2 linked regions of the Arabidopsis thaliana genome follow. The protein of the gene in region 1 interacts with the protein of each later gene in a pairwise test. Each region holds a gene or a part of one and is shown on either strand. Other genes may lie near its edges.

Region 1 (3,758 bases):
TTATCTTTAGTCTAGTGTCTGAATTCCATGCACTTCCAATGTTTTAGTCAACAAAATGTACTTACATTTGATGACTTGATGTTGTATAGATTCGTTAGGAAGCCACATCACTAAACGTTAAGCATAACTTTATGGTTAAAAAAAAACCCCCCCACCGTGTTCTTACTTGTCATCCAAATTCGATCTGCCATTTGAAGTTTCCTAAGCTGTTCTTGATGACTATTCTTAAATTCGATGTTTATATCTTACCATCTAAATTAAGCCTTACAAGAGCTACATATCCAAGTAGTATATGCTGGAGTAGTTTTGTGATCCCTTAATCTTATTGTTCAACAAATAATTTCAACAGGACATATATATGGATCACTACTGTTAAAACGATATAGTAGAGCTTAAGCGTTAGGATTTGTATTATTAGTTGTCTCTCTCTTTTACAGACGCGTGGAAGGTACGCGCCGTCATAGGAACATTGTCGGTAATCCCCTTCAAACACCAGTAGTCAGTAGATCGATGACTTGAATTACATCACTGTCCCCTACTTTGACCAATAGAGATCTAAAGGTTTCCTTTCTTGCATTATTGTGCTAAAACCGACATTTACTTAAGTTACTTGATTATGTCTTGGAAAAAAAAAAAGATTTTAACTTTGGGAACTTTTATTCAACTGAAATTTTAAAGAATTATTTAATTTGGAATTCCTTCTATAAATTTACTGGCTTTTACCGTTATACGTTACCATAAACTTATATATATGATCAAATTCGACCGTGATGAATGATCACTTTTTTAACTTTCCATTCAGATCAACTGAACCCCCTTACTTTTTCTATATATACTCTTTTAAGCACTTGTTTATATATTATCAACAAATTAAGGTGTCGAAAGTAACATACAATTAGACAAAGCATGTATAGTCAAAAAGATAGATAGTCATCAATTTTGAAAAACGAGCAATTTACATGATCCTACAAAACAACAAAACTAACTATATGAAATATCAAGTTTATAATCATTTTTAAAAATACCATTACAAAAGATTTGTACTTTGAATATAATTTAACATGAAATTTAGAAAACGATCTGTTTAAGAATATAACTTCTGCTATGTGGTATTTTAACTGGTACTTTATAGAGAAAAAAAGATTGGTAATTAATGTGATATTTTTGCAATCCATATTATATATTCGAGAGATTTTACTAATGATAGTACTTGATTAATCATTAGAGAAAACTAAATCTTACAAATATAGGTAGACATGATGAATAATATGCATGATTTGCGTTTCGTAAATTGATAGTACCACCTCACCTAAAGGGGGTCCAAACGAGTTGCTTCATATCACAATATCCAATTTTACCAACATACATTAATATATGTGTATTCACATATATACCTCGTGATTAATATTTTTTTTAAAATCATTTTTCGTTTGTTTCCTATACGTCTAATCAAACACACACGTTACAACTAAAATTATATTGACAATATAGCTCGGTTGGTAAAAGCAACGACTACTGCAGTTTCCCTGAAAAACTTAAGACCAGTACTAAATATCAACTATACAAATTAAGTTGATATCAGTTTTTTTGGGGGTAAAGTAATCCAATATCATTCTAAAATTAAAAGCAAAATGTCGTTAGTTATACATGTTAGAGACGAGCGTTGTGTTTGAGAAAAAAAAGAGTTATGTCGTATAGTGGATTCGACGTAAATATTATCGATGGTTGGTTTCAAACCTGAAAAATTACATGTCATATTGTCATCAAACATCGATTTTCATTTGATATAAGAAAAATATATTTACAAACACAATCGTGTGTGTGTGTATGCATCATGATTATATGCATGTTAGTGTTAGAGTTACATATTCTATAGAATATGTAAATAGTTAGAAGCGTACGTTCCTTGAAAATTGTTCAAAGTATTTCTATTATTGTTTTCTTTTGTTAAAGTATTTCTATTATTGTCTCAACCACCTAATTAAATTAAATAACGTCTCTATCTCTTTCTATGGAGTCGTGTTACGTCTTTCTAGTTTGAGATCTTCTACTACTTGTTTTCTTCAAGAATAATAATTTTCGTTTTATATATGGAAGATGCTGGTGAACATTTACGGTGTAACGATAACGTTAACGACGAGGAGCGTTTGCCATTGGAGTTTATGATCGGAAACTCAACATCCACGGCGGAGCTACAGCCGCCTCCACCGTTCTTGGTAAAGACATACAAAGTGGTGGAGGATCCGACGACGGACGGGGTTATATCTTGGAACGAATACGGAACTGGTTTCGTCGTGTGGCAGCCGGCAGAATTCGCTAGAGATCTGTTACCAACACTTTTCAAGCATTGCAACTTCTCTAGCTTCGTTCGCCAGCTCAATACTTACGTACGTATATATGCTTCACTGTTTCAATCAGTATTTTAAACTATTTGTGTTTCTTTGAGTTTACTAAGTGTATTTGCTTAATTAAAGGCATTAATGAGTGTTGTTACAAAAATATTATAGGGTTTTCGAAAAGTAACGACGATAAGATGGGAATTTAGTAATGAGATGTTTCGAAAGGGGCAAAGAGAGCTTATGAGCAATATCCGAAGAAGGAAGAGCCAACATTGGTCACACAACAAGTCTAATCACCAGGTTGTACCAACAACAACGATGGTGAATCAAGAAGGTCATCAACGGATTGGGATTGATCATCACCATGAGGATCAACAGTCTTCCGCCACTTCATCCTCTTTCGTATACACTGCATTACTCGACGAAAACAAATGCTTGAAGAATGAAAACGAGTTATTAAGCTGCGAACTTGGGAAAACCAAGAAGAAATGCAAGCAGCTTATGGAGTTGGTGGAGAGATACAGAGGAGAAGACGAAGATGCAACTGATGAAAGTGATGATGAAGAAGATGAAGGGCTTAAGTTGTTCGGAGTAAAACTTGAATGAAACTAGATTGCTAGATTGATATTCGTAATATACCAGTTTCTTCATATTCTTAGAAGTTTTGCATAACTATATATAGTACTCTTTTAAGACATGCAAGATCAGAACATATGTCCGAGAAATATCGGATTCTTTGCTGTATTGGTTAAGTCTCGTGTTCATAACATGGTACATCGTGTGTATATATATAGCCATTAACTAAGAGAACGTTTTCTCATGTATTTGCGAAATTTAAAACTATTTTGGGTAGATGAGATGAGTTACATCTCACTTTGGGCTGTGGTCAGGATGATTTTGGTTATGTAAGCCGCGTTAATAATGGTATCACTAGCTGCAAAATGGTTGAATTTTGGTAAATCTCAACTCTCAACTTTCAACTCTCAAAGCAGGCCTAGAACTAGAAGTAAAAGATTGGCATTCTCTTATTTCGAATTTAGGCCAGAACATACGGCACATTAGGGTTTTTTCCAGATTTTTAGTTGATGGAAGATAAAATATGAGGCATCATGTATATAGACATTAAGACCACAGGTTTCTCATGTATATGTCATATTTACAACTATGTTGAGTACGCAGATGAGATTATAATAAGTGATCAGATCTCTCTTTGGGCTATGGTCACAAAGGGTTTTTGTTGTACAAGCCGCAATAATGGTTTCACTGGCTATGAGTTAGCTGCAAAATGATTGAATATGGTCTCAAGTGTGGATTGACTTATACTGTATTCAGCTATTCCCAGCCGATTCCTGCCATAGAATGAAGCAAATTTCTTTCCTCAGACTTACAAAGACTGATGTTGTGTGGATCATGGAGAAG
Region 2 (3,758 bases), 1.4 Mb from region 1:
TCCTGTCTGGCGTTGAGACCGTAGACAAGAAGAAAATATCTACTACTACTAGTACTAATTAAACAACGAACGAAATAGAATCAACGGTTAGGACAAGACGATGGAATTGAACGGTAAAGATTAGATAGACACAAGTATGACCCACGCCAGGCTGTTCCTTTATTTCCTTAGCGTTAAACTGGTGGTGCTGACCCAACTAGGCGTCCCTTGAGTGGGAAGCTTTCAGGCCCCACGAAACAACGCCGTATTAGTGGTACAATCAAGCTTACTAGGCCCCGCCAATAACACGGACGAGACTTTTTTCGCAAAAAGCTTTTGTAACACTTGTAAGAAAATGGAATCATTTGAAAAGTAATGCTACAACAATTTTAGGAAAACAACATTAGTATTTTCATTTTAGATAGAAATATTTATTTTGTTACAGATTTTAATAAAATCAAAACATCAATATCACAATTGTTGTTGAGTGGACCATGACTTAGAGAGGGCTTCAATAAATCTTATTTTGTAAAATTACAAAGACCAAAAAAGTCAAGACAAAGTGGTGAGCCCCCACCAAAAAAACGAAACGTTTCGAATTATGCTTAAGCTTAAGCTGGTCCTACTCATACGGACCACGTAGCTCTAACCATTTGGGGACCACACCCAACCTGGCTGCCTCGGAAGCTATGCGTAAGGTGGGAGCCGTGTGGCCCCTCTCCTCCTCCCTCCACTCTCTTTTTGGTGCGTGTTGACCCACTTCTGCCTAAAATCGAGGCCCACTTCTTAACACGTGCACTTCTTCATGTGCACACGTGCTTTTTTTCCGATCACTAATACGCCGCCGTTTCCTTTCTTTTCTTCAGTGGTTCGATGACCGTGCTGTTGTGGTGCTCATGAACTGGTGAAGCTCTTGTTTCTCGTATATCTCTAGGGAGAAGTCTCTCAGCGTGTGCGTCGTTGTTGTTGCAATTGACGATGAACTACCGGTTGTTACGCCTGAGCTTGAGCTCGGAGCCATAACCGACGTCGCTCTTGATAAATTCGAACCGCTAACGTCTGAAACGGATACAAAGCCGCTGCTTGGAACAACTTGTAAAGGAGGTGGTCTAGCCATCGTGGAAGCCTGTTGAACAGCGGCGACGTAAGACGACGGCGAAGCAGCGGCGGCGGGAAAAGCTAATAACTGAGGCTGATTCGACGGACCAGCGATTTGTGGAATCAAGAAGAAAGCTCCGACCGTCGGAATCATTGCGTTTGATGGAATAGCCCACATCGGATACATTCCTTGCGGCAGAAGTTGCTGAGCCACAGTGGATGATGCCAGAGCTTGCGGAGGTTGGATCGTTGTCGTCGTGGCAATTGGAGCTAAACCGGAGGAAGCTGAAACGGCGTCGCTTATGTCTATATACTCACTGTTAGAAGGTCGTTTACGTTTCTTCTTCATCAGATTTTCACCCATATCAGAATCAGCGTTCGTCGTCGTCGGGATTTTTAAGGTTCCGTTAACCGACATGGCGATGGCGGGAACCGTTCCCGTACCCGTGGCGGCTATAATCGCCGGCTCAGCGTTCTCCAACAACCACCGAATCGTTTCGCCGTCGGATTTGTGACCTAACTCTCGAGTTAATTGAAAAATCCTAGCCGCACACGTGGCAGGCATCCGTATCCTTCTCCCTCTTCCTTCAACCTTCGTGTGACGGTCTTTAGTCGAAGCTCTCTTCAATGGTGGTCCTGTCGAAGACGGTGGAGCTAAAGACATTGAAAACGACGGCATCACCGGCTCCGCCTTGGGCTCGAGACTCACTGTGGGATTTACTTGGAAAGGTCTTGAAGTTTCGACGTTTCTGACGCCGTTGATGATGGTTAGATCAACGGCTCTTAGAGTTTGATCTTTGCCTGCAACTTCTTCAAGCTTCTGAATTGTCGCCATTAAAATATAGCTGAGAGAAAACGGACGGTGGAGATGACGACGAGAGTTGTTAAAAGCGGATACAATGGGAAAGAATCGTTTTAACGGCGTTACACGTCCAAGGAGATTACTAAATGTGACTCGTCAGGATATATATATAGGAGCAGGAAAACAAGTGAGAATAGTATTCAACGCTTTTTGATGCGGGAAAAATCAACGGTCCTGATGTGTTCGATGAGCTTTAAAGAACCATTCCGATTGTACCACGTGAACAAATCACTTTCCATTGCTCTATCTTCTATCAGTATTATTATGGGACCATCTGTACAATGGGGTCCAGTAAACTTTATTTCTCTTTTCACAAAATGTTTTTCTTTTATTGTTTAGTAATATACTTGTTTTTTAACCTAAGAAAAGCTTCAAAATCCAAAATCAGAAACTCATTCTGGTTAGTACTTACTAGTTACTAGTACACTCCCAAATGAAATACCTAGCTTTGTACAAAAATTTCCATCGCTGATCAAATTTAACTTTTCTATGGTTGGAAAGATTTTCAATAATTTTTATTGGTTAGGCAAAAAAAGATTTACTTTAATTTTATGGAAAAAGCTGTAAGCCCATACTTGGGGTTGGACCCCATTAATGTAGGTCACAAGGCTGCGCCACCAAAAAGCTAATTAGTGTCTATGGAATAATCCTCTTTCCAGGATTCCAAAATCCTCCTATCGTCCGTCCTTTGATTAAACCGGTCACATACATATACGCATACTTATGTACTTGTGTACTTGTACAATCCGGATATTAAACATACAAACCGAACTAGAAATCAGATCAAAGTAATCGAAATGATTGTAAGTTCGACGGTAACTAGATGTAACCGATTCAAACTTATTTTGATTCGTTGGTACTTGTTTCGGGTTTGAACCACTAGCTATGCTACTTGTACATACGACCGACCAGAAAGAGGGACCGTAAGCACCAGAAAAGAAAGGCTACAAAACGAAAATGTGAATGTGGGCCTGAGCTGGACCCTACTCTCTTCAGTTCCACACATTGTTGAGGGCTAGGCCCAACTATTCGACCCCACCATTCCCTACCCACTCAAAAATCAAAATATTGGCGATAACGTGGCCTTGAGATTAACAAACAAACGGATCCGGGATTAGAATTAAACACCAAATTATAAACCGGTCAAACCGGTAGTAACCTTTTAGGCTTAAAAGTTAAACCAAGTGGGTTCCACCTTTTCCGATTACAGATTCGGGTCCACCACAGAGGGATAATGTTGTAATTTTCGCAGCCACCAACTTTTGCCTACCATCAGCATACCATTCATTACGCCAGCATCAATAATTTGGGCTGATTGGTAAATTTGAGGTTTTGGATTCCGATGTTTTTACTTTTCACTAACCACACAATTTCACATAAATAAGTGTAGTATTTCTTACAAACCATTTAATCTTTAATGATGCTTGTTTTATTCGTATCGGTCCATTTCTTTAGACATAGAGAAGCTTATCTCTTCAGATACATCTGTCTATGGTTATGTTCTCTACCTGTTGCAATAAACACAATTTCTAACAAAAGCCTGAAACCATTCCCTAAGAAATCTGTAGGAGCCTTTGATGATCTGAAAAAGCATTCCAACAATGGCAATATTCTTCCGTTGCATATAAACCATAAGTAAAACGCTTAACCTCACGATCCCGATATGTAAGTGTACCGTGACTGAGCTCCCTCCAAAAGCTCCACAATTTTCTCTGCAATTTCCATGAGAGAACCAAAATAAGGTCAGTAGATGGCAAGTAGACAAGACAATCAGTGATCTCGTGAATGAAATGAAAGCTTTAAAAAGTAAACCTGTGAG

What was found.
Region 2: the proteins of HSFB3 (region 1) and TCP9 interact in binary tests that used the Arabidopsis thaliana proteins (3 or more experiments, as listed by UniProt).

The regions. Positions count from the first base shown.
Region 1 is NC_003071.7:17,379,633-17,383,390, forward strand, and holds HSFB3 (heat shock transcription factor B3), read left to right. Parts: upstream 1-2,014; 5' UTR 2,015-2,090; coding exon 2,091-2,387; intron 2,388-2,507; coding exon 2,508-2,945; 3' UTR 2,946-3,219; downstream 3,220-3,758. Other genes in the region: ABCA1 (ATP-binding cassette A1), read right to left, coding at 3,607-3,688. UniProt on the Arabidopsis thaliana protein: Transcriptional regulator that specifically binds DNA sequence 5'-AGAAnnTTCT-3' known as heat shock promoter elements (HSE).
Region 2 is NC_003071.7:18,819,876-18,823,633, forward strand, and holds TCP9 (TCP family transcription factor), read right to left. Parts: upstream 2,015-3,758; 5' UTR 1,913-2,014; coding exon 842-1,912; 3' UTR 367-841; downstream 1-366. Other genes in the region: SSE1 (shrunken seed protein (SSE1)), read right to left, coding at 3,590-3,651, 3,752-3,758.